3 linked regions of the Styela clava genome follow. The protein of the gene in region 1 purifies or fractionates together with the protein of each later gene. This does not show direct contact. Links are inferred from orthologs where the notes say so. Each region holds a gene or a part of one and is shown on either strand. Other genes may lie near its edges. The genes, in order: E3 ubiquitin-protein ligase RNF123-like, nuclear factor NF-kappa-B p105 subunit-like and ubiquitin-associated domain-containing protein 1-like.

Region 1 (11,639 bases):
ATGTTGAATCTCTGTCAGGCAATGCGGTTTAAATATTCCAACCGAAGTTAGCAAACATCCGAAGCACCGAGTTGCAAAAATATTCGGTCGAATAAAGTGACTGAATAGAAAAGCGTCACTGTGAAACAAGAGAGCTGTGCTCAAATATATGGACATGTCACAAAGTCTCGCTATTTTTTATTCTGACACATGAAAAACGAATCTCTTGATGTCCACATAAATTTTTGAAATGAGTAAAAGTAATAGCCTTCTGGCAAAAAAATCAATCTTCAACCACTGAAAATCTCAAAGCAATTGATCCAGTATTCGAAGAGAAAAGCGATTTCATCATGACGAGGGAGAAGAATAATACTAACAAGAACAACAACATAATATTGAAACGATCGTTATGTACACTGACGTGTCAAATGAATAAAACAGCAATATTCTGAGTGAAATATTGCTTCACATAGTAGCCTACTCAGAGAAAATTTGAGAATGGAATGCAATAGCTTTCTAGCGACTCCTTTCGTCTTGAAATGGAAACATTTGAAATTAATTGGCTTATCTGTAGATTGATCCGCAGGTCCATGTCGTGTTCAATATACGTATAGACAAATAAGTGATGGAAACAATCAAAATATAAAGTGAATCGCATAATAATCAGCTGTCGAATTCAAGGCACATGGACAACCTTTATCAAATTGAAATATTACAAAGAGCAATACTCCATACATATATTGATGAAATCCATTTGGTTGCGCAATCTTCCCAAATTAATTAAACTTAAAAAAATTAATCAAACGTAGAAAATAGTAGGCGCAAATAGTACAGGCAAATTTGAAAACAACACGTAATAGGCAGGACTTCCATAAAATTGAAACCAAAAGTAAGTACGATAGTGAAGTCGTATTGCATGCAATAAGTACAGTTGCACATATTAATCCCCGTCAGTTATTTACCGAGAAACAATGTTTCATTGTTCGACACAATTTTAAGTTATATTTCATTGCAACTCGGGTCGAACATCGCCTTTACCTGCAAGGATAGGATAGGATTTACATAATTATCTCGGGAGAGGGGAAAGTCGATAAGACGACTCCACCATATGGCGAACCGCGGTCTCTCGTCCTGTTACCATTCCACGTCGGGCATGGGATTAGTTAGTTATTTTCGGAAGCATGGACTTGATGGTGGAGGAAGCCGTAACCGACCAGCGGTTACGTGAACCACCTTACAGCGACGAGCGATCCTCTCGCACATAACCATCGCTGCATGGGATTCGAACCTGTGAACCCACGCAGAGTAATCAGAGGTGCGGTGGCGAGCGTGTGAGCCACACCGCCGCGCCAAGAGCGTCTATTACGATTCAGGCTAATTAAGAAATTAAGGTCAATGGGAAACGTGCTTCTTAACTTAACCGCGAGAACAGTTCTGAAGCATTAGTCCAAAAACAAACGATTCAATGCAACGGCCAGTATATATTAAAAGCCGGTACATTCCCAACCCGTACGGACATTTTCACCCAAGGTAGGCTACATATTTATTCATGGACATTTGCACAGATGGACCTCTTGCGTATATTTGCATTCAGAGTCAATTACCCTCGCGAATATTTGTGTTTCGGCCAAAAATAGTATTTGGCCCCTACGTTTTACAGTCATTGCAGGTTATAATCCCATATTTGCGGTATATTTTCAGCGTAATCAAATTCACGTTGGTGTCCAGCTAGTATACACTGGCAATTATACCGTATGAAAACTATCCACAAATGAACAACACGTCACAGTTAACCAACCCATTGCACAAGAGAAGCGTGCTTCGATAATTATCTTTTTTTCGTAATTTGTGTTCGATTGATTTTTTTTACCCGTTGAAAAAAAATAAACTTGACTTGGTGAAAACAAAAATAATCAAATGAGATCCAAAATTGAGAGTGAATAAAGACCTCGACTTTGCGAAAGCGAGATCAATGTCAAAGTTGTGCACGTTTGCAACACTTGTCCTTATTGTATTGTTGATTCATGAAGATAACTAGGCCTACTGTTGTTTCCTTACCTGTTTCGAGATTTTGCTTGATCTGAGTTAGTGAATGAAAATCCAAATTAAACGCGTGCGAATTTCGAATCCACCTCTCGGCGGAGAATGGCAAAAAAACGCGTTTACTTCAAAAACTGGTGTTTGTGAATGTAAAAGTTCACGGGTACAAATATTCATCGGTCAAATGTTTGTGGGTACAAATGCGGGCTCGGCGGTGTGGCGCATCGTGCTAAGGCTATTTGGAATACCCCCGCCACAGCTCCTCTGAATACCCTGCGTGGGTTCGAATCCCGTGGGGACGATTGCCTATGCAAGAAAATTGCTAGCCTCGTCTCCGCCTTGGGGTGGTTCACGTAACTGTTGGTCGTCTAAGGCTTTATCCACTATCATGTCCATGCAAATACCTGGCTAACTAATCCCATATTCTACATGAACTGGAACATGAACACGAACCGGACGAAAGGCCGTGGTTTGCCTTTCGATTAAGCCGTATTATTCACTTTCCTCTCTCCGGGTTAAAAAGCTAAATCCTATCCTGTATACATACTGCAGGTGAATATCTTCGTGGGTGCTAATGAAGACCTACTCGTGCAATATGTGCGCGGGTGAAAAAGTCAACGGGTGCAAATGTATTGATTGCAATTTTCTGTGGGTGCATATATGCACGGGTGCAAACGTTCAATGGTGCAAATGTTCATGTACATGCAATCTGTACGTGGTTACCAAATGTATGGGTACAGATCTCCACGGATGCAAAGGTACGCGGGTGCAAATGTACGTGGGTGCAGTTATTTTGAACTTTGCGCTCCTTTTTTAAATAAAGATTTTTTATGTGTTCAACATAGATCGAAAATGAGAATAAAAGCTTAAAAGCATTGTCAAAATTTTCTGTAAGGCGCAAATTTCAAAATAATCCCAAATCGACAGCATTCAAGCGTAAATATTAAATTAAGTTGTACATTCTGGAAATTTATAGCAGATAGTATATATGATTTTTTCTAACAGCGATGACAAGTCACAATTCAAGCCCTGCTTATAGAAGATTTTTAACTAATTTCTAGAAAATTCCTATTTGTCAGAGGTGAACCTTAATTTGCAGGAAAAATGAAAAGTTTGTTTATTCCATCGCAAGCACTTGTACTTCTGAAATCTCTGGCGAAATCGTCGTAACAGTATTTAAAAAGAATGTTTGCGATTTTTATGAGAAATGTCTATCGTATATAGAGCTTTATGACGAAGCCCAGGTATTGGTGATGATTAACGTAATTGTTGAAGGTACAACAGCCCGAAAATTTAATACTATCGTGTATGTTGTTCGTTAAGTTTGGCCGAATCCTCATTTAATTGGGCTTGTATTTTTTGTGTGCATGCTGGTGGGCAGGCACATGAGATACTTCATGTTTTAAACTTTTCTATAGGTTTTGTTTGCCCTCCAGAATTATCCATTTTTAATTTATGTTTGTTATGAAGTTTTCGAAATAAACTATCTATCTATCTAATCAAGTGCGTTTTGTCCCAACAACAACTTTACTTTTTCAAAACTATCACCGTATATCAAAATGCCCACAACAGTACCAGGCTGGCAGTGATGGAAACATACCACAATTTTCACACCGCCGCCCCCAGAAAAATGTTCCAATAGGCCTACATACGAGCGCCTTTGATGCTTATTTGGAAGCGTTTTTTTCGAGTGGGGGGTATAACGCTTTGATGCAGACCGCTTTTATTGTTTCATTACCATATTTCGATTCCACATTATTAAACTATTATTTACGCCGTTTCTACTCTCTAGTGTCCTTGTTAGCTGATTCTTTGTCGGTTGTACAGACACTTTGTACACTTTTATAGACAATTTGGTGCAGACAACCGTGTCTTAACTATGTATAAGACGGTAGGCCTACTGTATAACTATTGTGCTACAGCGACACTGCGAAGTTTGCGACAGACAGATACGGTTGGTGCGGAGCAAACAAATTCTGAAATTACAGAACCATTTTACCGTTTTCGCTCAGTGTTGACGTGACTTTTGATACATCGAACTTCAGACTGGATAGATCTGTAGATATTATGAAAAAATGATGTTTGAATAAAATACATTGTAAAAAATTAAGATAGGCATACCGGTACCAGCATACGAACAATACCGGTAGTCAATCTCATTCGAAAGAAACCAATTATGCCTTTGACATTCAAGTTGCATATCCGGCATTCCGGTCGACATAATTCATGCAGATTCTGCTAAAGTGTCAAGAGTTATTAAGAATTCAATATTCAGATATTTACATTTATTTCAGTACCGCAGTACCGGTAATTATTTTAGGCTATGCCCCAATTCCAGAATTCCTCCAGGCAGCCAGGACTGCATGATGATACAGGGATACGGTACCTGCCGGTACCGGTAGCTCGTATGCAGCATTACCAGTCAGCCAGTAAGGAAGTCTGGAAGTAAGTGAGGCACACAACTCGCCCACATTTAGACATGGACACCTCGCTTACCGACAGGGTTTAGAAGATATGATTTACATAGGAGGGTTTAGTCTTTAGATTGCAGAAAGGAGGATTACATACCCGGACTGCCGGAGAAGGATTTACATACCCCTGTACCCGGGTGAGAGGAAAGGCAATAAGACGGCTAAATCATATTGCGAACCACGGCATGACCGCCACTGACCCACTACCACACACGCCAAGGATCACGCTTTAAACCTGTACGCTTTAAACCTTACGGTACTTGATGTTTCTTTTGCTTTCCCGATTCTATAATTAGTTTTATTTATTTTGTTTTTATCAATTATTTTATTGTCTATTGCTGATTATGGAGTCGAAATGAACTCATACTTATCAATTACCAGATTACTGTAACAGTATTCCTGTATTTTGTTTATTGCGTATTGGTATGTGTTTCAAATAGCTGAATAGTGCCAGAGTGTTGATTTTGGTTTTTGCTGCAATAAATAGTGCTCTGTCTCTGTGTTAGAGTTGTTAACCCAAGATGTGAAATTATCGTAAATATAGTTTTCAAGGTTATAGAATTCGATATAGCAATTCTGATCTTCCACTTTTGACACTGTCTGACTGTCTTCAAGTATTGCTGAAGATAGTTTACAATTTTCCTTACATGTTGCACTTATAATGAATTTTTTATGTCCGAGGGTTACATACCTACTCAAACAGGTACAGAATTATTTGTGATTTACTGATTGAACAGCATATTTTCTGTCCAGCATTTCTGGTTTCCAATATTCTATCCGGTTTATCAAGACTACCTAAAATGACATCATAATATGCAGAGGCGAAGGGAAATGTCATCAATGATATGTCATTATTAGATTCAATACAACTTCAATACAGTCATAATGAAGTTACTAGACACAATTTTAAATGTTTTAACAACTTCTTGAAAGAAAGATGTGAATTAACAATTGTATTATTTGTCATTTATTTGGTTGCCCGCACGTTTTATGTGATAAATACAAGTGAATTTCGTCATGATTGTAAAGTGGGTGAGCCACACTAATTCTACACATGGATCACCAAATTTTCAGTTTAGAATTCATATTGAACTAAACTATTTTATTTACATGTGAACAGATGGGTTAATATATTATTCAGCCTGCTTTTCATTTTGGTTTATAACCACAATCTTTATTCCATCTGAGTCTTGACTGCTGAAGGGTAGAATAATGGCGACTTGCAGTTCTTTTTCTGGGACATCATTTGGGAAGCTCAGGGAAGCAAAAATGTGTAAGTATTTTTTGTGATCGATAACTGTACATATATGTGTATATCGGATTATCTGAAACTGGGCCCTCAACCCTTCTATGGGGCCACAGAGCGGTTGTCTGGGGGCCATGAGCGAATGCTTCCACTAGATATCATTTGGGATGGCTAGTAAGTAAATTGATTGTGATTTGTTTCATTATTTGACTGTAAAGTATTTATTCTTTTTCTTTCCTTCGTTGACTTTTTTATCATTGGATATAGGATATATAGGATTTATATATTCATCTGGGGAAGAGTGAAGCCGATTAGATGAATAAATCATATGCCGAACCAAGGTCACTCGTCCGGTTACCAGTCCATGTCGGTTATGGGATTAGTTATTTTACATGCTGTGACTCATAATCCACTTTAGTCTAGGAATAATGTTCCTAATATTAATCATATGGTCTATAATATATTTTTTGTGTCCTTCACTGTTATGACAGGTCCACCCGACAAGTTAAATGCTATTCTAACCAAAGTTTTTCCGAAGAAGTTCACCACCAAGCCATCTGGATTAAAAAGGTAATTAATTGCCATATATTATTATTTCATTGTTTCTTTCTTGTTCATTGGTATTGGCGGTAGTAACATCCATTTACTTTATGAAACAATCCTTCATAGACGGAGAAGATTCACGTTTGAGTTGTGAGTAAATCACAATCGTAACCTCGAAACAGCGAAAGTCGCGACCCGTAACCCTGTATACTAATATATACCATGTGGTGCTCGCTGTCTACCAGATATGGTGTATTTTCTTTATATGACGAATTTACGCATTATTTGACAATATACCACGGGTTGCTCGCTGTCTACCAGATATGGTGTATTTTCTTTATATGACAAATTTACGCATTATTTGACAATATACCACGTGTTGCTCGCTGTCTACCAGATATGGTGTATTTTCTTTATATGACAAATTTACGCATTATTTGACAATATACCACGTGTTGCTCGCTGTCTACCAGATATGGTGTATTTTCTTTATATGACAAATTTACGCATTATTTGCCCTGTACAAGTCTCTGCGCAAGCAGCTACTGCTTGATAAGTGGCTACTTTAATACCTACCCCATTTATTTCACCCTGGGTGTGGTGGTGGGCACAGGATTTGATCCAGAGATATACTTGGTACCATCATAGAAAAATATTAACGCTTTAATTTAACCACTTGGTCACTGCACCCGCAAACTCCCGTATATCAAAATTAAACTTTGAATCTGCAATATTTGGAAAATGACTGCGTTATAGTCACATTTACAATTTTTGTTCTCATGTCAAGAATCAGTGACTGGAACAAATATTGTTAATTGCAATTATACTGTTTCTTCTGAAGAAGTCATTCTATTCATATTCAGTTCAGCGGTTTAGTTGTGTACAACAGTGAAAACACTTTTTGTATAAATAATACAGAATTGAGTTGATATACAAATAAAATCATAAAAATATTCAACTATGTTTTACTTTTTTAATCTACAAGAATTGAGCATTATTGGAATTCGGATAGCTGATTAATATTACCCAAAAATATATATGATAATTGTGTTATGACAATTTCAACATATAAATTTCTTTTCACTTATTATAGTAATGATATGTTGGGATTTCACAACCTGGAAAAGCACATCACAAGTACCTTGCTAAACGCAGAGGAAGCTAAACCAGAGATGATATCTTCTTCAGGTAAGGGAACTTTCCAAACAGAGTATTTTCCAAATAGCGCAATATAAATCTCATCTTAAAAAGTACGCTATATGTATTATGTTATGTATACTATATGACAATATGCAAATTGCAGCAAAATCATGGTTTGCAATGTATCTTATGTAATATGATTAAATTATTTGTGGATTGTATTCAAATATTCAAACAACTGCCATGTTCGATCGAAGATTATTCAAAGTGTTATCATATATTCAAAATTCTTTTCATGCTAATGATAACCTATGCACAAGAATTGAATTGTTCTCTTATAAAATAAGCGTATTCTTAGGCAGACTTGAATTTCATTTGACGGATTTTTTCTTCCATAATCTCCAGGGAATTTTAATATTTTAGTGTTGAAGAATATGACATTCACAACTTGACATAAACATGACCATATATGATCCTATCTTAGCAAGATTTTTGTTATATGTTCTTTCCCTTTGTTTCCTTCCAATTTTGCATAATTCAAATTTGCACCAGTAGTTAGTTAGAGCCAGAGATCTCATTTACCGAATAATTGACTATTTCTTACTCTTCGTTGTTATTCATCAATTCCCTAAAAATCTATCAAAAATAAAAAAAAATTTAAATTTCGACTCGAGTCACAATTTCTTTACAACACTGGTTCACTTCACCCAGAGTTCTGCGAGCTCAGTCCGCGAGGGTGTAGGTGTATATTCAAATTCGAAAGTTTATATTATTATGTGCATATTGTTATTGTATTGAATACAGAGGTATAATATAAACATATAATAAATGATTTTAATGAGAGTTTCGTTAAAGACCTTCAGGGGTTCTGCTCCAATTTGTTTGTTCACATTTTTTTGGATTGGCGATTTTTATTATAATAAATAGAGCCCCGGTATGTTTCTTTGGCGTTCCGCTACACCAGAATCCTTGAAAAGCACTATTCTACAACAATGGTTAATTTTGCTAATAAATACTAATTTCATTATACTACACTACAAATATTACTTTTTTACCAGTAAATATCCGTCTTGACTATTTTTTTAAACTTGAGTTCTATTTTTAAAGCTCTTAAGTGTTCAATCAAATATTCGATCAAATGAAGCAAGTCTTGTTACTTAAACTTCATCAATTCACAAATAGGAAATACCCTGGGCATTTTCATCTACTATGCATCGATTCAAGCAATTGTAAATATTTTATTTAGAAAGTAAAGCTGGATCGAGTTCTGGTAGCGCTGGTACGAAGACTAGGAGTTATTTGAAAGGTATTTTTGGTGAAAAGAAAGTGGATCCAAAAGATTCTGAAAAAGATAAAGGACCTGACTTTGAAAGTTAGTGCTTCCCTATTTGTGTATTATCTATTTCGATTTCAAGTATCTTACGGGAATATTTTTTTTGATACTCTCGAAGGATGTGAACCAAGAAGGCGGATACTCGGACGTAGTATGTGTACCAGTACCAGGTATAATTTCAGGTACAAATACTACGGGAGTCACTTGGCTAGTCTTCGAACTCGTAATATCTATTCGTAACTCGTAAATAAGGAAAATTTAAATATAATTATGATCCAGCCTAACCTGGTACACATACTACGCTCCGGTATCCGCCATAGTGGTTCACATACTTCGCAAGTACCTTTTTTTTGTTTTGGTAAAATCATGTAAATCTTAAATTTTTTGAAACAATGAAAAGATAACAATTTATTATTAAATTGACCTTTTTCAAAAAGCAATAATTCAAATAGCCTATTATTAAAACTTAATTCTGGGAACAATCCCAGAATTATTATTTATTTATGTGTAAGACTAAATCATTGATGATTGTCAATAGACTTATTATATCATTCAATTATCACCTCAAACCAGCTAGCTGCATTTATTAACTTGTAGGCTTAGCTAATATCTGTAATTGAAAAATACTCGACTGGTGCTTGAATGTTGAATTGGATATTTCAGCTTTCATACGAGTGAAATTTGTGGGTTACATTATTTGTGTGGGAGATCGTATATTGCTGTCATTTTCATTAGCTATACAGGATCTTCGATGGCATAGTTTGTACATTTTTTAAAGAATAAATAATTTATAATGTGGTAGAGTTTGTTTCAAATAAAATTGTGACCTGTATTGTCGTCTTCCACGCTAGCTTATTTTAGATCTTCAAAATTCGTAATTTTGACTAACTTTTTCAAGTTATTTTTTTATTACATTTTACGGATTTAGAACTTTTTTATTTGATATATAACAAGAGTTTCAAGACCAAAAGGGTGAATGTTGGAATGTTGAAAAAGTTTTATTCAAAAATGTCGTAAAGGAATTGCTGCCTCTTATTTAAAGCTGTTTTTAATAATAGTTTGAAGGATTATTAACTTTAATATTTCAGTAAAAATTTACAAAAGTCTGAAAAAAAAAATAGTTTTTCCTATTTTTGAAACGGCCAATAGCTTTTCTTATTTTTAAAACAGCTTTCGCCGTTTTGGGTTACCATAATCAAGTTTTTTTCCCCCATCATTCGATTAAATACTTTTCTTGAAGACTTACTTTAGCTTTAAAAGTTGCATTTAACAGACTAATTGAAACATATGTAAATGGATTATACGATTGATTAGAGTCGCTTGTTCCTAGTAACTGCTCCTTTGTCTCTGTCTTGGTCAATGTGGAATCATATGCACTCCACTGACCGTAAGAATACTGTAGCAAGAATTAAAACAGCTAAATTGAATGATTGTTTGTATAATCCCTAAACCGTTCCAACAATTTATTTTGTCAAATTTCCTCAAAAAGTTGTTGTGACTCTTTGTTATTGACTCTTACAAAGTTCTTATATTAACTGTTGTCACTTATACTTTAAATTCCTTGGTTATCATTATTATAGATTTTTTGTTCTTTACATGAATGTAATGGAGTATTTTGTTGTTTATATATCCAGATATATGATTTATTTTGATTACACCAAGTTAAATCGATTATACACCATGTTTCAATAGAATTAACAATTTCTGAATTACTAAAACGTGTTTCTACTTCAAATTCTGTTAATGCTAAATTACCTAAAATTTCGTTTATTTGTGTGCTGATAGTTCACCATTGTCTGGTTTTTACTTGTTCCTGTGCATGATGCTACATGTTATTGATTTTTCCCAAAATTCCCTTTTTCATTCTCACTGCTAATTGGATTAAAATAGTCTAGTCTTGTTATTACGTTTTGTTTTCAATTCTTAGTCTACATATAGGTGTAATATACATTTAAATTATTTAGAAATATTGATTTTGCAAATTACAAAACAAAGATATGTTTTTCTGTTATTTGTTTTTTTATTTATAATTAAATGAAAGATATCCTCTTCAATTGTTTTTTAATTTTATTGAATTGTTTTATTCAAAAAACATGCGGAAGGGACATAAATAATGAAATAAATGAAAAATTTTAAAATGTAAATCATAAGGCGAGCAAGATTGAATCTAACACATATTTTTATTGTTAATTAGCTTCACACCCCCTCAAAAAATTGTCTACACCCCCCACACGCCCCCTTGTTTGAGAACCACTGGTTTAGCATATTTCATTATGAAATATCAATCTGAGAAATAAATACGAATTTGTATTGGGAATTTAGGTTTCAACATAAATTATTATTATAGTGGCCTCAGTGACTTATTGAAATCTTACTAACTTAAGTAGCTCAAAGTCCTTGTTTTCTATAAATTTTTGTCATGCTCGTTTTCTATAAATTCAAATTTTTATTTTGTTCCACATGCCTTGGGGTGTCCTAAATCCAATTATACACTTTGACATGATATTTCTTGTAACAAACAAAAAAATCTTTCGAAGGTTAAATGAGTTTTATTCATGTCAAAACAATTTGGAACAAAACTCAAAATAATAATATTTGCAAAAAATGTTTTACGATTCAATCGTTTTTTTATATCTTCAAAATTGAAATTATTGACAAAGAAACATTGTAGAAGATCGAATTAATATAATTCAAATGTGGAAATCTGTATTGTTCACTATTTAACTTCACTTTCCAACTTCGAAAAAATTTGAAAAGTTCATTGAAATTTTCATTATATCTATATCACAGGCTCAATAATATGAACAATACACATTTTTGTTTGAATTTTCAATTTTCCTGGTTTCCATTAATAAATAGCAAAGACAGTGTGCCCTATTGTTATTTA
Region 2 (11,918 bases), on another chromosome or scaffold:
AATCCACTGAAATATCAAGAGCTTTTTGAACTATCACTCAAGTGTTTTCCTACAAAATTTAAAACTTCATATGAATAGACTAGCATCAACTGTGAATGTGATATTGGTTACATCAATTTTCAAATTACATTTTTTTGAATAGCGGTTATTTAAAATTTCGTCTAGACCAAATTCTTAAAAGTTAGAACCCCGGCATGCATATCAACTTTTACAATTATAAATAAGAAAATTCTTCTGAGAATTTTCGAAGGGTAAAGGACACAGCATACCTGCACTTGAACAGGCTTGTCTATGCTGACATCTTTGTATCTTGGTGTTCGAAATACGATTGCAAACTGCCTGTGTACATCAGTAGGCGAGAAATCACCATAAGCATCCCAGCCATCATCATTTCCATATTCATCTTCTTCAAAGAAGCGAACTTGAATATCATCTGTAGTTTAAAAATATATTAGGCTATTTGAGAAATTATACTATATACTAAATCATCAACATACTAAAATATAAAAAAATTTAGAAACTAAGCACAAATACCAATCTATGCAAATAGATTTATTATTGCTTGTTAAGTTAACTACCGTGAAGTTAATCATTGTTTAACACCACCTTTGAGCAGATAAACACAAAAGATTATGGTAATTTTTTATGTTACCGGTATGAAATTCTGTGCTGTCAAATGCCTCATTCACATGGGTAATTTCTCCAAGACTTGTACCATCTTCATCTTTTTGTAAATTTTGATAAATCATTTAAGTAGTATTTGAAAAACTGACCTTTCTGGACCTTGTCACATAACAAGTAAATCTCATCCATTCCACTTGCCGCACCATGAGTTTTATCCATACGACAAATTTTCAATGTCGCTGCATTGGGTGACTCTGAACAAAAAGTCCATAAGTTTAAGCTTGGGTAAGCAAAGGATTTAGTCTGAACAATGCTTGTCAGTAAAATTCTTATTTCTAGGATTTTGGGTGAAAAATTAGCATTTAAGCAATTGAAATCTCCCTATTTGAATAAGAAAGCCTTATTTATATTTTTCGAATTGTATATAATTTTTCCTGCATTTCTTATTAAATATACATCAACTTCTGTGTGTTTTTTGTGAAACATGGCCCAATTTATAATATATTATTATTGAAAAATATTATTTTAGATTCAATTTAGAATAGTGGATCATAATATGGTTATACCTACCTAAATTGGTAATTAATTAAGTTAGATTACAAATATGCGAACTGGATTCACTTCATAAGAAAACCTTAATGTTGTGAATCCACAAAACTTGACATCAGTAATTTATCAAATATACAAATATAAAAAAAAAATGATCAATTTGGATCAACTGTTTCAAATTATGTTAAATAAAATCAAATTCAAATTCATGGTCAAATATAATTAAAACGCAGAACAAGAACTCACTGCTGTCAAAAATGGCATCAGAAATGACTGGTTTCAACATCAAAGTAAAAGCTCCATTGCTATCAGGCAGGTAGGCAATGAACATGAGTCTCACGACTGAGAGGTCAATGGACTTCGCCTCTGCAGATGCTTTAGACCTGATGCGTTGTTTGTCTTCATCTAAATAAGATTTAAGATATTTCAACTCATTGCAGAATATTTGAAATTATACCAAAAGTAATATCAGAAACTTCATTAGATATCTGCAATGCAGAAAATAATAAAATACTCTGAAATACGATGTGAGAAACAGTCTTATTACAATTCTTTTCAGCAGGGGACAATTTATCAAGAAAAAGTTGGCATTCATCATGACTATTTCATGAATGGATCGAATGGGCAAATTCCATTCAAATCGTAAAACACAATTTTAGGAAACCAAACAATTCAGTTATTATTTATAATAATATAATATTTGTGAGCAAATACAAATTGCAGATGTAGAGTTTCCAAAACAAAACTAAGCCCCACCGCCACCACACACTGACCTAAAAAATTCATAGTCATTGTGAAATGGGAATTCCCACCATGCCAGTGCTCAAGTTATTTTTATACACAGATATGAAGCGAATTAAGATATTATCATGATTGATTTCAAACATTGATTTCTCATAATCAATGAGAAATGCAAGCGGCAATCAGACACAACTGGCATGAAGCATTGAGCATTTGAACTAAATAATTAAGCTGTTCTGATGTCCCTGATTCTAATAACAGGCGAGGTATAAATGAACAACTTCGATGTCATCAACAGCCATTTAAGGTAAAAATGAATCGAAGGAGATCGTACCCTTTATAGCATTTTGAATGTCCGCGGTCAATCCTTCATTGAGGGACGAGAGCTGCATTTCGGCAGCCAAGTATCGTTCTTCAAGAATTTTTGCTACATTTTTCTTCGTGACATGTTGTATCCCAAGATTGGGAAATCTGAATCATAAAAATGCAAATTTTTTTAATATAAAAATAAATTTTAATTGGTCATATTGAGGATGTCATAAAAGCAAAATTTACTGTTAATAATTGATTCTATATAAATAGAAAAGAATATTAAACGAAAAAATCGATAATTGAGGCAAAAAATCTATATATTCGTTTGAGCAAATGCTAAATTTAAAGTATTGAAATAGAAAGAAGATTTTATAATGAAATGTATAAATTAAACAACATTTCAATTCAAATTGAACCCCATTCTATCAGCACAGCATGAGGTGTGGTAAAGATATTCCGTCAGCATTTAGAAAACAAATATCCAAATATGGCAATTTACATAATTTATCTTTAAAATATTTATCGCAAAAAGATAAATCAAATTATATTCTTATTTAGTTACAACAACTTGATAGCAAATATAGGCTAGGCCTATTGAATTTTTGCATTTATATTATTTGTGAGAAATGACATGACGAAGTACTGTAGAACGTTGTGAAATGCTTATTATAATTCTGGTCTTTGGCCAAAATGATTCATGATTTGAATACTTCGAACATACTTCTTTTTATTGTATGCATTTGCCTCATTGTAACTATAACTCGAGTCTTAAATTTTAACTTGGTGTGTTCAAATATGATCTTGCCTAAGACTATGATTATTTTGAATCCAAGGCTCAATTATAAGCAATGAATTCCTATGATTTTATTAGGATATCCAAATTGAACAATGCTTGTCAAAACAGCACTCCTGATATTTATACCCTGTCGGCCTGTCATGTATTACGCCATGTTTCGAAATCATTTTATTACACCTAGAAAAATCCCCTTCAAATATGTAAGAGAGAAGGGAGGGAAAAAAGAGAGAAAGCTCTTCTGTCTGGAAAGAAAAAATGAGTGAAAGAGAAATAAGAGAGAAACTTACGTGGCAGTCATGTCTTTGGGTCCACACTGAACTGTACAGATGCCATTCTGACATTGTTTTCCAACCAAAGAGTGAGGATGAAGTCGTGGGTTCTCTTCATTTGTAACAAGTTGAACAACAATTCTTGCATATCCTGAGTGATTTCTTATCTGATAATGTTAGGAATTCAATTAAAAAATTAGAAAAATCCAATTATAAATAAATAGATAGTATAAGCTTAGCTGTTGGGCCATCAAATAGCACCGACATTAAAATGGAAATGTTTATATCAAATAACACACAATAATCTAAAACTTATATATCACAAATTTGCACATATTTTAAAATTAGATATTCCGATCATAATCATAAAATACAAGTATATTTGACAATATTCATGATTTTATTAGGTAGTGAAATTTTTCAGCTATTTTGTTTACAAACTAAATTCCTTATACATACCAACAAACACCCACACAATTTATAACATTGGATTTATTGACTGTAGCTATGGCATTAAAAATACCTGAACTGCAGGATATGTTTTCTTGTTTTTATCACTACTAGCCCCGGGTATGCCACCGTGGGATGGTCCCTCACAAGAATACCGGAATCTGAACCCTCTCGCTTTTGGGTGTTCGATAATGTCAAGAAACGGTTCCTGACTCTGAAAGAAGAAAAGCAACGCTTTGATAAATCATTAACTTACTATTTGACCAGTAAAGTAAACTGAGTGAGGCAATTTCTGAGCAAATTTATCATGATATCACCAATAGTATTTTAATTCAAACTACTGGTATAAGAGATGAAGCTAAAATCCGCATGACACACAATTTCAAAGTTCTCACATGGAATGACAATTTTTTTTTATAAATCTAGATAAATGCTATTGGGAAAATAGTTTTTGTTCCAAGTTTGAACAGCTTCATATTGACATGGTTATATTTTTTATGTATAACAAACTTTTTATTTTTGTTCATTAATGTCAAATGAATATGTTGCTTATGGTCCATCTGTATCCTCGGACGCAGGATCATTTTTAAGCAAGTTTAAATCTTTGATAACTACTTCACTATTGTTATGGTTTTGAAAATATCAGAAGATATTAAATACTCTTATAGATTCACATACCTCATCCGGATACATATTTATTGTATTTTCGTACTTTTGTTGAAAAGGTAGTGTTCGTTGAGGAGAGTGATACATCTAATAAGAATAACTTTCCTTCATATAATTTCCACAAAATATTTTATAGGATTATTGTAATAATAATTGTAATTATCCTAACGTAGTGACGACCAATATATTTACTTTACAATAATATTGTTCTGTTGAAAAATCAAGGATTATAATTTACTGATAATAGTTATGGTAGGTAAAATAGTACAAATTGCAAAATGGTGGATACTTAGGTGTTGCACCTTAGGACAAACCACATTCAAATAAAGGCATCTAATGAGGAGAATGTATAGACCTGTCACCAAGTGAGATATGGTATACAAGTAGAGCAAGAGTCATTTCATTGGTTTCGATTGAACACTAAACAAATTACAGCACTTCCTTATTCTATTAAAAATGTCCATATACATATAGCGTCATACTCAAAGGAAACGTTAATAAATGAATTCAAAACTGGTATATATCCAATATCTATATACCTCTTGAGTTCAAAATTATAGAGATGTTTTTTCCAAATTGAAGAACTTACATCAAATAAAGAAAAGTTTATGTACCAGTAAATATTACTTCAAGATATTTTAAAAAAATGTTTATTTCACCCACTACTAATAAAGTATACGCTCTACACTTGATATGTTTTTATTTCGGCGATATTTGTTAGTGCATTTCAATACTTCATGGTAATACTTCAAGCAATAAAAAAGCATTCATTTTTAAATTATAATAATAACGGAGATACATATTCAGAAACAATCTAAATAAATTCTAAATCTCAAAGAAATTGTCTTATAACTGAAATGTATAAATATTCATATATATTCAGGGGTTCCATTACATTTGAACCCACGTACATTTGAACCCATGACAATTGCACCTGTATGCTATTGCACCTATGGAATTTTTTTTGTTTCACGGATAGTTAAACCCATACTAACCCTAACCCATGGGTTATAGCACCCGCATATAGATTGAACCCGTGGATATACGCATGGGTTCAAATGTACGGTCACCATATTCAGGACACAAGTTAAATGAAATAAATTATGCAATAGATTCAGATTGACAATTTTTCGAAAATTGACACAATTACGCCGCAATGAAAACTTGGAATTCAAACACTAGTTTTTTAATATATTTATTTTCTATATATATATTATATTTAAACAGTTATTAGCTAATATAATAGTTATAATATAATACATTCTATTTATCATCTTAAATCAGGTACCCTATATGCTGTAATATTTATGAAGATATATAAAAAAAATTTAAACAAGAATACATAACTAGGCGAAAATTTTTCAGGTCTTCAAAATGAAATAATATCTCTCCAAAAACTGGCAAAAATTAGGACGCAGAATTTTAAATCACAAAACGCACTGATACAAAAGTTTCAGACGGTTTGTCATGATTGTGAAAAATACGATGCCAGAGGCATCAAATTTTTTAAGATAGGAAGCCTGAAAAACAGTTAGAAATAATATGGGATCTATAAAGGTAGAAATTTAGGATTGCTGAAAATTCATCTATTTATATTTTACTTCAAGATGGGGGTTTCTGAAAAACTTTTGAGCAAACTACTAGATATTTTTGAATTTTGAATATAATCATTACCCTATCTGAATAATTAGTATTCTAAAGCCCCATTTTTTAATTCGAATTCATGATGTACTCTAAAGTTAACAAATTTGAGTTTAGTATAAATTGCTGAAAGCAATTTAAAAAAATCGCTATCTCTTCGGTCATACCATTCTATGCTTCTATCATTCATTCTGTCATAAAAATAGCCTGATAATCTCCTATGGTATTGAGGTAATCACAATGTCTACAAGTATATTTGTCCCAAGAAGAAAAAGTAATAATAAATAAGTCATGAAATACTACTGAAGCACTCTTTATTGAACAGAAAGTATGACATCATATTTTCAGGTGACTGCCATATTTTTACTCATTTTTTTCTGAAAAATAAAAGAATGGTTCACCAGGGGAAAGAAAATGTGATACCAGAAAAAGGTTATATATATAAATGTGATCAATAATAACTTCTCCATATGGCTATAGAATGGAATGTCTATGTTTATATAGTTTGACGTTATAGCATTCTGTCCGCCACCTAATTAGTTTAAACAAATACATACGGTATATAAATATAAATTGGACCTCCTGAAGTATGCGTACCAAGATGGCCCACAACCTGAACTCAGGTGTGTACCAGGTTAGGGTTCAGGTTATGCGACATCTTGGTGCGCATACTTCAGGAGTACCTATAAATTTAACAAATATGATGAAAGTCCATGGCAAAAAACATATATAAATATATAGAGTGGCAAACATTTCATATTCAGCTGTAAAGTCTGATCCTACACTTAAACACTACACATTGAGTCATGAGAATGATGTCAAATTGCCAACATGAAAAATTTTGATTATGAAAATTTTTCTAAAAAATATTGTAAAATTTAAAAGTACATCTTACGAAAATAAATGTTATACAATATAGTTATTCGATACATTTTTCCAAAGTCTGCAAAGATATATATATATGAACAAATAAATAATAACACTATAATTTCACATATTCTGAATAGTTTTTAAATTTATATCTTCGTAGCTAGGATTATTTAATTTTGATGAACAAACATATCTTCTTTATTATATAAGTCTACATATTATGACACAAAAATGGACTCATCTGAAACCCTATGCGCTAACATAATATATGAACTGGTCACATTTACATTGTGAAATTTCACACAGAAATTTCCCAGAGATAAACAATAATAGTTGAAAAGGAACTACAGTGACATCATGAACAATATGGATAAATCTGACGTGTGTCATTGTTTGTAGAGGACAGCTTATAAATATAAGAATAATTTGACATCCAAAATATCTGATGTTCTTTATAATATTGATCCAATCAATAATTTGTTTAAGCAGACATTCTTCATTTTTGTATCACAACAAGATAGTTGCAAACTCTTGAATCCTTCTAACTATGCATACCTGTATTTTCTTACAGAACATCAAAAATGTACTACTCATTCCAACAATTAGCTAAAATTGTTTGCTTGATGTTTACAGGAAATCTTATCATCTCAACAATCAATCAGATACAGCAGGGGTATGCAACCTTCAATACAGGAGGGCCAGATTACCGTATACAAATACCTGAGTGAAATCGCTGGCAGTCCATTTATTTAACATAGGCTTTATAGTAGTTGCAGGCAAAAATTTTGGTCATTAATCTTATGGCATGTGTTGTTCACTTCGCACAAGCTAGCATTTGGCCCTCGGGCCAAATTTCACGAAATTTCAACATAACTTGGAAAAAATACACAGACAGAGAGATAACCTCGCACACAATAACCTAAAACACACTATAACCTTGTAATTGATTTTTTCATTGCCGCATGAATTGCCCCAACCTATCTCTTCATACAATCTAATGATTATGACATAGGGGATTCTCACAAAAGGGGATTCTTTAAATTGCAATGATACAAATACAGAAATAACTCATTGTCAAAATCTCGCATTAAGTTGTTTTGCTAAATTTTGAGCCACTGAGCACTGGAGCAATGATGTGTGTTCAAGTTCTAAGCAAAGGAACCAGAAAATATGCAAAAAAAAACTTTCTCTGTTGATAAACATAAGCTAATTTTATTAATACCGGTATTCATTACAGCACTACAGAAAAGTGTTGGCATATTCTGAACATTGAATTCATGGATCTTTAATAAATATAAATAGAGCAGTAGAGTCAGATAGCAGTATAGAAGACCCCTACTACATACAGACATTCTATCCTGCTATCTGACTATTTCAGTATTCTGGCAGTCTAGTCAACTTCTGACCTCAGAGAGTTTGTGGCCTGCTACCACTGTACCATGCCATAATACGTACAGTAATATTATAAAAACTTTTTATCCTTCAGCGCAAAAATAAATATTTAAGAATCATAACAACAGAAGTGTTGTCCGAAAACTGTCAGAAAAGATTACGTATCCGAATTCTAGCACTTCACAGTCTGACAGTTGATGCGGGATTCATATTTCAGTATTTAAAAGTTTGAAGTATTTTTTGCAGTCTAGTTGAACGACGATGAACAAATAGTCTAGTACCAATACCGTCGTTTAAGCGAAAACAGGTCGAGTAAAAACTGTAAACGCAATGTCTATTTGCGTCTACAGCCCCTTACCTGCTTACCCAGTCCATTTTTGAAAGCAACACCAGGTCGACTACCCAAGGCAGTACCGAGACCTCTTCCCTATATCTTCCCGTGGGGTTCCACCTCTAAACCGAATTATGATTGGCTGAAAACAATCACGTGCTATCGTTGCGTGATTCTATTTTTAGTAACACGGAAAGTACCAACAAAAGGAGATAACTTTTGGGCTGTGTTTCTGGCTGGCTCGTGGGTGTTGATTTTTAACACCGGCCAAAATCATTGTTACGAGAGTATAACTATATGTATAAATACGAGTCACATTGAAACGACAACACGTTCTCACGTTAAGTCAACGTTGTATCCTACAAACTACGACTTAATCGTGTGTTGTATCTATCTATAGACAACATTCACATCGGTATCACCATGTCCTCTTACGAGTTATTGCTGCAACGAGCTAGTACATTTTTGATTTTTTCAGCATTAAACGGCTTAGTAATAGTACTTTACATAGCTATGAATTACGTATTTATCCCGGAGGAGAGGAGAGTCGCCAAGACGGCTTAATCATATGTAGTGAATATTTATGAAGACTGGGCAGTGTGTGATTTAATGTTAACTCTTGTTCTTTATTTCATTTCAAATATTATTGAGTTCCGTCATTGTTTACTAAGTGTAACGAAGCGCCCAGACTCAAAAGCAATGTGATTGTCCTCGCGCCAACTACCTCCAACGTTGCCCACCAAAGTCCCATTTCTAGCCACAACAAACAACCTCGCACAGATTAAGGACTTTCTCATTGAACACTACCGAGCCAGCACGTTTAATACGTGTGAACACCAGCCTTTGCCCATTCTAGAAGGGCCGCCAATGAAACTGATGATCAAATCAGACGCCGACCCAGTTGCTCATCACACCCCTGTACCGGTCCCATTGCACTGGCAGGACGAAGTGAAGGCTGGACTCGACCAGGATGTCAGACTTGGCGTGATGAAAACAGTTCCTATTGGCGATCCAGTCACTTGGTGCCACCGAATGGTAGTCTGTGCAAAAAAGAATGGAAAACCACGTCGCACAGTGGATCTGCAACCCTTAAACGCATACGCCACCAGGGAGACCCACCACACGCAATCAAGCACGCTCAGTCCCAAACGGCAAAAAGAAGACCGTGTCCTCTTACGAGTTATTGCTGCAACGAGCTAGAACATTTTTGATTTTTTTAACATTAAACGGCTTAGTATTAGTACTTTACATAGCTATGAATTACGTATTTATCCCGGAGGAGAGGAGAGTCGCCAAGACGGCTTAATCATATGTAGTGAATATTCATGTATACTGTGTAGTGTGTGATTTAATGTTAACTCTTGTTCTTTATTTCATTTCAGTTATTATTGAGTTCCGTCATTGTTTACTAATAAAAGTGTAACAAATGGACTGTCCATCCTGTCTATGACGGAACTCTTGCTTAATATCTAGTTATCGACATTTGGCTAACGTGACTATTTACTAGTACCAGTGCTTGCATTCATCATGTCCGTCGTCCGTTGCCCCATCGAAAGCTGTACATACCAAACACCAGACCAAAGCGATGCCATCGTGGCTGCCTTGATAACAGCACATTCCATCACCCACAACTCATCGCCGGTTGCAAAAGTGCGTAGGCCAACAATCACCATGGCTCAAACATCAGAGGAATGGGCATACTTTGAAACGAGATGGAAGGAATATGTAGACGCAAGGAAAATAGAGGGTAACGATAGAGTAATGCAGCTACTGGAATGCTGCGACGAAGCCCTTCGAAAAAACATCACGCAGGCAGCGGGCGGCAGTCTGGCAGGTAAATCAGAAAATAACGTTATAGCTGCCATAAAACGACTGGCAGTCCGCGAAGAAAACACAATGGTTGCAAGAGTGGCATTGCATAACATGCGACAAGACAGAGATGAGACTGTCCGATCTTTTGGCGCCCGCCTACGTGGACAAGCCGGAATAAGCAAATTCCCAAATTTAATGTCTTTCTTGCGAAGCAACTGTCAATTATACAGATGCTATCTTACAGGACGTGCTCTCGCGAGGCATAGCTGATCAGGAAATAAAACTCGATCTTTTTGGCGACAGAAATCAGGACATGACACTCGAAGAAGTCTTCCTATTCGTGGAAACTGAGAAATCTGGAAAACGATCAGCTACACGCCTGTTCGATTCGATGGGTGCGGAAGCTGCGCGTAACAGTTCCTACAGAAGAGATAAGAGGAGATTCCAAAAATCAGGCAAGCGGAATGTCCGGCATATGACCACACTTGTGGACACTGCGGTCCCTGTAAATGATGGAAAGGGCGATGTTGTTGACTAGGCATATAACATACGTTACTGACAGCACCGATAAAATGTTTATCAGCAGGGAAGCTTGCACTGCCTTGGGAATGATCTCTAACAACTTTCCCAAAATAGGCGACATAAAACAAAGCATCTATTGTGCGTCTGGCGCTGCTTCACTGGACAAATCCTTCGCAAATAGCAACAGGGAAGCGAAACACACAAGCGCCCACACGCAAAAGCAATGTGATTGTCCTCGCGCCAACTACCTGCAACGTTGCCCACCAAAGTCCCATTTCCAGCCACAACAAACAACCTCGCACAGCTCAAGGACTTTTTCATTGAACGCTACCGAGCCAGCACGTTTAATACGTGTGAACACCAGCCTTTGCCCATGATAGAAGGGCCGCCAATGAAACTGATGATCAAATCAGACGCCGACCCAGTTGCTCATCACACACCTGTACCGGTCCCATTGCACTGGTAGGACAAAGTGAAGGCTGGACTCGACCAGGATGTCAGACTTGGCGTAATAGAAACAGTTCCTATTGGCGATCCAGTCACTTGGTTTCACCAAATGGTAGTCTGTGCAAAAAAGAATGGGAAACCACGTCGCACAGTGAATCTGCAACCCTTGAACGCATACGCCACCAGGGAGACCCACCACACGCAGTCCCCATTCCATCAAGCACGCTCAGTCCCAAACGGCAAAAAGAAGACCGTGTTTGATGCGTGTAACGGGTATCACAGTGTACCTATACGCGAGGAAGACCGGCACCTGACTACCTTCATCACACCCTGGGGCCGATACCGCACTGCACCACAAGGCTACATTGCTTCAGGAGACGGATACTCGCGTAGATTCGATGAAATCGGGGCTGACGTTCCAAATAAAACAAAGTGCATTGACGACACCCTCCTTTGGCCGACAGCATAGAAGAAAGCTTCTTCTAAGCCGCCAAAT
Region 3 (10,882 bases), on another chromosome or scaffold:
ATTTTGTACACTTAATAACTTGTTCGTAAAATTGAGCTACGTTTTATTAGTATGAGTAAAAATAACATGATTTCTTTCAACGAAATAGTAAGTTTATTTGTGAGCTTTCCGTAGATCATGATCTAGCTTCTTCAAACAATACAAGATATGGACCTTTTCCCGAGCATCGACTTTCTTGTTTACTTCGTGACATTGGCCGATCAGCAAGATGCGAAAAGTGACGTAACAATGCTCCACTTGCATCCGCTCAGACACTTTTCTCACTCAGACAGATTTTCAAACGTGGTCGTAAACATTACCTCGTTTTCGCGTTTTTAAACTCTATTCGTTAGTTTTCTGTTGTGTTTCGGAAACTTCAGATAAGTCAATGATCACTCTGTCTTCCTATGAATTTAAATTGAATTGCAGTAATAAAAAATTAGTGTAGAAATAGCTGTGATAGACTAGGCTAAAATTCTTTACCGGTACTTTTAAAAAACAGATTGTTGTGTGCGATGAATCATAATGATGGTTTGAAACACATACCCCGTTTTACAGGCGCCAACTCGCAAAAGCGCTCTTAAAATAGCCCCGAAAATTTTGCAATGGTAAAGTATAGGAAGAATTTTTTTCGGGGGTCAAAGGTCGGGGAAAGGTCCATGACTTAATCAAACTACAATAATTGCTGTCATCATTATTGCTGTTTGATTAAGTCATATCTTGTAATGTTTGAAGAAGTTAGACCACGATCTGACGAAAGCTCACAAATAAACTTACTATTTCGTTGAAAGAGATCATGTTATTTTCACTTGTCACTTTAATACTATCTCATTCAAGCATCCTTGTGGCAAATACCACATACGGATCCGAAGTAGAAAGTAAACAAGGAGAAAGGACCTGCAGTTCAATACACAATATTCAAGGTCCGCTAGTTTTATTAGTAGGTTATAAATAACATGGCGTTTAAGCAAATATTCAGGTTCAAAACCCCGAGGTTAGTAATAACAACCTTAGACACTTTGAGGTCAGAAAGCATCTAAAAAAGCGCGTGACGTTTCTCATTGACAGGTCCTATAAAACATTTATCTACGCAATACTACACATAAATAAGCTATTATATGAATTGTCTGAATGTTGAAATTTGAATATCTGCCTCAAATAATAGTTATTTTTACATATTTAATTGGCTCGAAAATAGAAATACTTCATAATACAAAAGTTCACAGTGCTTTTGTCGAACCCCGGGGGTTCATTAGACCCAGGTTGAGAAACACTGTTATAATATAAGGGAGTAATCATCAACGAGTATCAATATTGAAATTCAGTGACACGAGTTTCAACGCGCTTAAAATCTTTTTTATTATCTCCTGTCTGTAACCGCCAATTACGATTTCATCCTAATTGTTTGTGCACCGTATATTCGCATTGAAATTACTAGGGGTGGGCCGGGATTCGGATCCGGATTCGAGTCGAATCCAGGCATTTTTGGACTCGGATTCGATTTCGAGGCCACGTCATTTTTACCGAGTCTATAATCAATTCTGTTTTTACTAATTTACGCCTATGTTTGTTCTTTTGCCTCTATAAATCCCACTACATACCTTAACTAGTTAAAATTCAAGGTTGGATCTGTAACAATATCCCTCGTGTGCATTATAAACACTCCTAATAAAACGACGACAGATATCCGGATAATATAACGCAAGTTAAAAACTATTGGTCGCTTATAACAATGATGTTGCGCCAGTCGCCTTCAAACTATCTATCCTTTTTGGTATGCATGTGGTACACAATAAAATATGTGTTATTGCAATATTTTTGATTCACGTAAAAATAAAACATGCCCTAGATCAACCCACTGTGGAATCTCATCAATACCTCTTTTAATTAAATCAAGTTTATTGCGTGCAATCCTTTCGCTAAAAAGGCAATGGAAATCATGGAGAGTTTCAGAACGTTTATATGAACTACTAAATTGCAAGCAGATGTACCACATTGTATTGACGACGAGTGGCATTTCTCTACCAATTGCGCACACGACATAGTAAATTTACGGCTAGAAATATCTGGAATTATGGGAAAGTATTGTAGTCGAAAGCTTTTTATTTTTCATATTGACATGTAAGAATTTCTGAATAGCCGCCCAGAATTGACGCAAGGTGGGCTGGAAATCCAGTTCACAGCCAAGGCGCACATTGACCCACGTTTACGTTTGTATTATGGCCGCCAGAAAAGAGAAAAAATATATATTTAAAATGATTCAACAGCTGTATGCGGGACCATTAGGCAAAAAATATGAGCTACGACGTATGTTTGTGAGAGCATGATGCTGTAGCATGGTCAAAAACACGTTTTTCTGCTTTTCCATTATGACGTCACGAACTCGGCAGATTCGATTCGAGTCCTTGACCTATTACTCGGATTCGTCGAATCTCTGTAATGCCGGACTCGTCCCATCCCTAGGGGTAACAGACTCTCGTTATCTCATAACGTGAAACTTATACAATGGGACAGAGACGCACCACCTTCAAGTTTCATCGACTGATTTAGTGAATGGACTCGATCGATTATAGGCAGGGTTGCCATCGACCTAGAGCCAAAAATAAGCACGAGTGTCTGAAGTTTATTTTGGGGGGGTATTTAACAACGGCAGATTGAAAATGAGAAAAGAATCATACACAAGTCTCTTCCGCACTCCAACTTTTTATTAATAGAAGTCGCTTCGATCAAGGTTGCATGCAGCCCCAAAGTCGCGCAAGGCCATAGAAAACCATTAAATAACGGCCACCCACACGCAACCTCTAGAATGTAAGAAGCTACAGAATGATAGTGTGTGATTTCCTTAAGACTATGACCTAACAATATGAAGAGAACACAAGGTATTTTAATATTACTTACCTGTGGTCCGAGCAAATACTCAGCGGTATGACGCATCGTGCTGAGCATTAGAAACACGCTTGACACCGCAAGTATAAGTCTGAAACGAATGAATACCGTTAACATGAACTGATAATCGGACGAGAGGTCGTGGGCTTGCCATTTGGTTTGACACTGACAATGTAATCGGATTTCCTCTCCATGGTATAAAAATCAGTTATAAAACAACTCTAAGGTATAATCTCAGTTCAAAAATATGACTTATGGCAAGGGAAGGATATACAAAAATAATTGGCTAATACACTCCAAAGCCATTAAACAGGGAGCTAAATTTGAAGCATTGTGTGGTTTAAATTTATTAATAAAACAAAATTTTATATTTTCTCAGCGTCAATACAGAAATATAAGAGCAAATTCGGACATTTTCAATATCAGCAAAATATTCAAGAGAAGTTCATGTCATAATATGCTAACCAGAATTGGAATATTTATGATAAAGCTTTAATATTTGTAGAATTACAGAACCTACAGTCGAATCATTTGCCCAATTGTGTCTCCTCAAGGGATTTTCAAGCATGTCTTCTAAGGCTTCCAAAACTCTTTTATTGTGTAACCCTATATGTATTGTGGGATTACTGACAATTGCTTTATACAGTTCACTGTCAGGAGCTAAGCCATCATTTGGGTCATCATCTGGAACCTTCCTATCCCCTAAAAGCCAGTCACATGCAGCACTTGGATTATTTCCATTAAGTTTAAGCGCCTGAGTACTGTCTTCCTTGGTAAACCCCATGCCTACAAGTATTGTTATATGTTCATTGCTTGGCTGTAAACGCTGATTTTTCTTACGCCAAGCATCAAGGCGTCTTTTCACTCGTTTTGCGGAATGTTTATCATCATCCTTATCCTCGGTTTCATTTTCATCCGTTTCCGTATCGGTGTCCATCGCACTTTCCTCTCTACTTTCAGGATTGTGTAACAGCCAATCCATGGCAGCTTCCATATCCATTTGATTCACTCTTAAAGCTTTGCAGGCCATTGCTTCAGAAAATCCCATCGCAGTCAGTGAAGAAATGAGACTAGGATCCACCAGATTCAATGTTTTACTTTTAGAACAAAACAATCCATCAGCTTCTTCATCAAAAAACATCAGTTTGTAAGAAAGGTCAAGCAAAGTGAGCAATATCTTACGAAAAGTTTGCTCAAGTGTGCCTGTAGCAGAATTAGCAGATGACGCAGCTTCGCCGACTGATTTCCCTCGAGCTACTAAACCTTCTGTTGCCTTCTTTATTCCTGGCATTGTTGGAATAGATCTGGTTGGGACTCCTGGATCTTTACTACTTTGTTCTTGAACATTGTATAACAGAAGAATATCAGCGGCAGTCAAATTCTCAGATTTTATGGTGTTTTTGTTGAACAAACGTCTACATTGTCCCACTGCACATACTAGTGTGTATTCTGCAGTGTTATCAAATCCACTGCCCCGCATATTTGAAAGTTTTTTGACAGCTTCATTTTTCACAGATTCGATGGACATGTCTGTTTGAACATCAACTAGTACTTTATGTCCTTGCATACTGAAGATATTTATTGCAAAGTTAGATGGACCAGATTCTTTATACATTTTAGAGACAGGGCTAATTTAATATTACTTTTTATTAAATCTGCAAACAAATAAAACAACAAAGCATTGTGAAGATAGAAATACTTGTTTTGAACATTCACAAACACCAAAGTAATGGTCCTATACTACTGTTGTTACAATACCCATATTCAAGTCATATGATAAAAAATATTCAAAAGTTTTTAAAATATTTTATGAATTGAGCGATTGATAACAACATCAATAATAACCTGTATTGAAACCTTTTGATACAACTGCAAAATTCGATCAAAGCAGTCACTTAACAACATTACTGAAAACAGGCTTCACTAATAAACTGAAACTCTCAGTCAAATCAATTACCACATACATTCAATTAAAACTTTCTGAAAAGGCTTTCATTGTCATAGAAATAGAATCTTATCTTGAAAAATGGATGAAAAATTCAGTATCACAATAATTCGGCTTTCAAGGAAGACATTAAAAAGTCACACAAAGGCCACGTGAAGAAACAGCTATCAACAAAACCATGTGAATAGAAAATGAAACAAATGTAACCTTTACAGAGTTACAACCTAAAGAAAAACAAGGTTCTAGAATATTTTTCCCAGATACATCAAGTCTATTTAAATGTGTTTCATCATGATGATGAAATCCAGAGGCCATTATTTATTACTGCAATTCAATGGGCAATAAAAACATTTGTGAAACCTGTATTGTTTGCTACAGCACCAATGATTCCAACATGTTTAAAAAAACCCCAGTTTACTGAGTATGACGCCAAGTTTATTTGCAGAATGCAGGGAAGTTCATAATATTGCAAATGACTGAGTGTATTCTTTTATTCAATTTAGGCGTTGTCATATATAATGTCATTACATATGATGTCAACTACCAGTAGCAGTAGTCTATATTGGATGGGACTTTCATATATATTCCACAGGAATCCACACGTCAATGGGGAAGCTCAATCATGTGGCAAACAAAGGCCTCTTGTTTATGGTTCGGTTAGGATTTATCTATTTTCTCCCGGGGGAGAGGAAAGTCGATAAGATGGCTTAACCATATAGCGAACCACGGCCTCTCGTCCGGTTACCATTCCATGTAGGGTATGGGATTTAGTTAGTTATTTGTTTTCGGTAGCATGAACTTGAGTTCAGAGAATAGACATAGATGAGTAATCTTCACTCATATACTCACATACTGGTAGTTATCCAACTAAAATTCCAACACCTGAGGCCAGAACACAACTAGCCAAGGTGTTTTAGATTAGTTAAATTTAGAATGTTACTTGTTTATATCAATAAATCTAATATCCATGATAAGAAAATGTCTTCGCGGTAAAGGATATGGAGCTGGAGCTAACACACTCAGTGTCTCAGTCTCTGGATCAACACCAGTTACAACAACAAAACCGGCAACATTTGTTTCAACAAGATTTTCCTCCAAGGATTCAGCCATGCTTAGACTCAATATGTGATGAACTAAATCTCTTTGTGGTCTCACTGGTACAAGTTTGGTTTGTGTATCGTCTTCCTCCATTCCCAATGGCAAACAAGAGTCTGGCAAAGCAGGAGCACCAATTTTGAAAATTGAGATTTCAGAGAATTTCACATCAAACGCATGAGGGAAATATATTTTATTGGGTCCATAAAAATATTCTTTGATTCGTTCTTCCCTGTGATCTCTACGCAATTCGCGAGATCGTTCTACAACACCAGGAGATTTTGGCAAAAGAACTATATTAACGAATTCTGGTAAGTCTCGCTTAAGATCATTGTGAAGTCTTTCATTATCAAGAACTAATACAACATCAGCCTCAAAAGACTGAGCCGCATGCAATATACAGTTATAGCCTTGTCCTTTGATCCATCCACACGAGTTAATTACACATCCACTTGCTCTTACATTTAAATTACATTCACTTTTTGCATTAAACACATCTGCAATTCTTGAAATCAACACTTCATAGAGTTTTAAATTCCCATTTGGTGATGTGTGTCCGAAATGATAAACAAGTGGTACCTTGGTATCAAAACCATCAACAGGGTCAGATGGTCTTTCAACCGTAAGAGCAGCTATGGTGCCTGGGATAGATATTCCACCCTGACCTACATCCAAATCGATTAAAGTTGGTTTTCTTCCCATGCGTGTGGCGTAATTTAATAACAGTTTACAGAATGTGCTCTTGCCCACATCTTGAGGGCCAACAACCAACACTCGCGGCCCTCTCAATTCTTCAGCTTGAGATTTCCTTCTCATTAACTCAACAGCTGCATGGGTGTTAAGATAAATCGTCATCGGAGTCTCTTTTGAAACATATGCAGCTTCAAGTTTGCCTGTCAATCTTATAGAACATCCGAACCAGGTGAAAACAGCAATTTTGGACGATGATTCAAATATATATGACCTGGTTCTTACAAGTTCAGTACCAAAGATTTCAGCAATTCCATCCATAAGCTCAAGCTTAACTCTTTCTTTTGCTTCAACTTCAAATCGCAGTTCATTTTCCTTTGAGACTTTGAAATCCTGTACCATGTCCTTGTTAATACCCTTCTCATCAGAGGCTGTCATTGCAACTGCCATATTAGCGTATTATCACTGTATCATGCACACTACCGGTTTATAACACAATGTACTGCTATACCTGCTGTATACACAAAATTGAATGAGTAACGACTAACGAAGTCTTTTTGTGGGCCATTTCAAGCAAATGTTGAATTTCATGAATTTTTTAAAAAGTGCAGTAAAAGTAATTGTTTTGTATTTTCTATATCAAAAGACACTTGAATTTTATCGGACTGCATTCATTTCATTGAAAACGTTAAAATTTCACCCAGGTTTTTGATCGTTTACACAAACTGCAAAATGGCCTGAAATGTAGAAATTTTGATATAATTGACATTTTTTGTGATGATTCGTAACAAAATGTGTTTCGATTGTTTGGTACAGTTACTTCATTTCAAAAAGATGCACTGGACTCAAATATCACCCATGTTGTGAATTCACAAGACATGAAAATATGTGACACAAACTCAGGTTCTCTATTGCATAATAAAAATATTTCATCCCTGCTACTCTTTTCATCTCTGGTTTTGTTTTCAAGGGCAAAATCTTCCATAGTAACATATAATTGAATCTAATTTCCCAAATTTTTATAAGGAATACAATATACAATTGTGAATACTATTGCAGGTTACAAGATTTGAATTACGGATAATTATCATTTCCCAATGCGATTTTTTTTACAAGTTTGTCATATATGTCATATGTCAATAATGTCAGAATGTTTGCCCATTTCAGCATTTTGACATCATACTGTCATACAGTACGGGTACCGGTACGGTTGTAGGGGCCATGATTCTAAACAGTGACTGTTCTTATTGTAACTAAACTGGCAACGGTAACTTAGGGCATTGAACCCTGACCATTTTGGCATTGGTGGGATCTCTTTCGGCGTGAGCCGCTTGGAGGTAGGACGTATCAATTTGTATCTTACTCAATCGGGGGGCTTTCGGTATTAGTAATTAGGCGTAGTTTAAATTTACATAATATAAGTCTATTTTCCTGTTCAGTATAGTTATTATTGGTCCCTTCTGTGTAATAGCACTGTATTTTACCGGATTACTGTTTGACAACTATTTCACCATTATTTGACTACTATTTCACCATTATTTGACTACTATTTCACCAACTTTTGACTCAACAATCTGACAATAAACATCTCTGGACAATCATTTTGAACTTTGAAAGGAACTCAGTCAGAACCTCGTCATCAAAAATAAAGTGCCTGTACGATCTATTTATTCAAATCACCCTAACGAGCACATCGCCATTGACCATCGTATGGTGCTGAGCCGTTATAACGGTACATATTTATTCTATTACTTCTCATAAAATCGATTACACTTACACTTTTACTCATATGGACTAAATCTTTGTAATACTGCAATGGACTACAGCACTATTATTCAATGGTAGGTAGACCTAAATACGGGTTACTCTAGCCCACAATTTGCCAGCCCACAATCGCATGGTGATCAGAGGGTTAATCATACATATATTTACAGTGATTACCGGATTTTAAGCAAGGGAACCTAAGAAATTTAGCTACGGGAATAATAACATGTTCTTTTACATCCAAACCAATCCACACAATCAAATGTGACGACCGCTAAACAGAAATGTCGGTTGGCATAACCAGAATGTGGGCTAGGGTAATCGAAATTGTGGGCTAGGGCAGGGCTACTCAACTATTTTTATCCGAAGATCCGCATACAAAACTTCAAAACTATTTGGGTCCGGACTTTCCAGAAATTATATTTAAACACGCACTTCCTAGACAGACTAATGATTATTAGCTATATAAGATTGTTTATTATGGCGTTAGAGTTCTTTTCATATATATATTTAAACCTATAAAAGTGATTTTATAAAAGGAAACTTCAAAAGTGGGGCTAATAATCCAAAATAAAGAATTAGTCGCGGTCCGAATCGAATACCCGAAAGGTCCGATTTCGGACCGCGGTCCGCCAGTTGAGTAGCCCTGGGCTAGGGTACCAAAATTGTGGGCTAGAGCAGGGGTGTCAAACTTGCGGCCCGCGGGCCGCATGCGACCCCAGAGAACTTTCAATGCGGCCCTCGAACGCTTAACAATAATTGTGAAATTTTGTAAGTTTTTATCTAAATGTAATTCATTTTTAAAACTTTTCAGAGTAAAATTGATTATTCAAACAGAAAACGACAATTTACTGAAAGTAGTTTTGGAAAATTTAAAGATTTTTTGTTTTCAATTTGCCCCAATCATGGATACACCTAAAGCTAACAAAAGAATACTTGAAAAAAAAAACTTAAATGAAACGCAAAGTACATGAAGAAGGTGGCATTTTTGAAAAAAATGGGGGTTGCAATATTTCTGTATTTCTCAAAATTCTAAAGCACATTGTTTAATTTGTCACATTTCCATATAATGAATGAATATTATATAAGTAACCATTATCAGAATAAGCTCAGCAGTCAATAGGACAAATTTAATAATCAACTTCGAACAGAAAATTTTTATGTATTTATATATAATTATACAACTACCTAGATACTAAAACTCAATATCAATCATAACTCATGTGTTCCTATGCCATGTAATAGTAGGAAATGTGGCGATAAATATCTGGTCCGAAAAGTCAGTCATTTGTTTGTTTACTGATCTATACATTGAATGATGAACGTAATATTTTTGCATTACTCAAATTAATCAAACATTCTCAACGATACAGATTAACCGATGATCATGTGAACTCGAGTTGGTACTGTAAAATCATTTCAGCCTGATATTAGTAAGGTAATGGCACAAAAGAGATGCCAAACGTCAGGACATATGTAAAACATTGAGTTTATTCTGTAGTATTTTTGTAAATTTTAGGTCAAAATATTTAGATTAGGTCATTTTAGTGTATGTATTATTCTTTCCTTATCAAAACTTTATTCAAAAATGTTTTGGATAGTTGTACATAAAAATTTATGATTTTTTGTAATAAATAAAGTAAATTGCAATACTGCAATAATAGTGAAATGCAAAAATTGATATGTAAGTTAAATGGCATTCAAAATTTAAGAAAATAACAAAACTTCACTCAGCTGTTCAATTGCATCGCACTATTGGTTACAAACTAAACCTATATGCTCAAAGTATGCATTATCAAAATAAATGAAAAACTGTTTGTGGCCCTATGCCTGTATGCGCAATTCCCAAAACGCAATGCGGCCCACGAAGACTCACGAGTTTGACAACCCTGCCCTACAACAAAATGCCACTGTGTCCACATTTCCTTATTGTATTCCCGATAACCTCTTACCCTTTTTTAGCTAATCTGAAGCAAAGTTTTGAACAAGACTTCGCATTACAAAAATATCTGTTTTTTTTTTCACGCTATGGATTCATAACAGTTTTGTAAAAATAAATAAACGATGAAAAAATAATAATCATAGAACATAGTTACATATAATAAACAAATATATTCGTAAACATCATTCAGTATTATCCAGCAATTCATATTATTCATTACAAAAATATCTGAACTGAACGAAAGCCTCTGAAACTCGAAAATAAAATTGTGGGCCAAAGTAACTTTTCGCACCAACAGAAGACCTGAGAACTCGCAAAATATGCGTAAACACTAGAGGACGGTAAATAACCACGAGCAAAAACTTGGATTTCCGATGGAAATTGACATTAATAACTATTTTTAAAACTGTACTTTGTTTAGGTAAATGAAAAAGATAGGATAGGACAGGATTTACATATTTATCCCAGGGGAGAGGAAAGCCGATAAGACGGCTTATCCATATGGCGAACCACGGCCTCTCGTCCGGTTACCATTCCAAGTCGGGTATGGGATTAGTTTTACTGTATTGTTTGTTTTCGGA

What was found.
Region 2: the proteins of E3 ubiquitin-protein ligase RNF123-like (region 1) and nuclear factor NF-kappa-B p105 subunit-like purify together in Homo sapiens (affinity purification with western blotting; 4 studies listed by BioGRID). This does not show direct contact. The link is inferred for Styela clava from reciprocal best matches to the Homo sapiens genes RNF123 and NFKB1.
Region 3: the proteins of E3 ubiquitin-protein ligase RNF123-like (region 1) and ubiquitin-associated domain-containing protein 1-like purify together in Homo sapiens (affinity purification with mass spectrometry; 7 studies listed by BioGRID and IntAct, counting the BioPlex papers as one, with this or other methods). This does not show direct contact. The link is inferred for Styela clava from reciprocal best matches to the Homo sapiens genes RNF123 and UBAC1.

What each region holds. Positions count from the first base shown.
Region 1 is NC_135251.1:24,680,503-24,692,141, forward strand, and holds the start of E3 ubiquitin-protein ligase RNF123-like, read left to right. Parts: upstream 1-5,594; 5' UTR 5,595-5,702; coding exon 5,703-5,763; intron 5,764-6,227; coding exon 6,228-6,306; intron 6,307-7,372; coding exon 7,373-7,467; intron 7,468-8,665; coding exon 8,666-8,791; intron 8,792-11,639. UniProt on the Homo sapiens protein: Catalytic subunit of the KPC complex that acts as E3 ubiquitin-protein ligase. Promotes the ubiquitination and proteasome-mediated degradation of CDKN1B which is the cyclin-dependent kinase inhibitor at the G0-G1 transition of the cell cycle.
Region 2 is NC_135256.1:16,829,919-16,841,836, forward strand, and holds the start of nuclear factor NF-kappa-B p105 subunit-like, read right to left. Parts: upstream 4,634-11,918; 5' UTR 4,495-4,633; coding exon 4,420-4,494; intron 3,956-4,419; coding exon 3,815-3,955; intron 3,459-3,814; coding exon 3,310-3,458; intron 2,386-3,309; coding exon 2,249-2,385; intron 1,579-2,248; coding exon 1,420-1,578; intron 879-1,419; coding exon 774-878; intron 434-773; coding exon 270-433; intron 1-269.
Region 3 is NC_135260.1:20,338,036-20,348,917, reverse strand, and holds ubiquitin-associated domain-containing protein 1-like, read right to left. Parts: upstream 4,496-10,882; 5' UTR 4,481-4,495; coding exon 3,326-4,480; 3' UTR 3,195-3,325; downstream 1-3,194. Other genes in the region: polyribonucleotide 5'-hydroxyl-kinase Clp1-like, read right to left, coding at 5,747-7,045.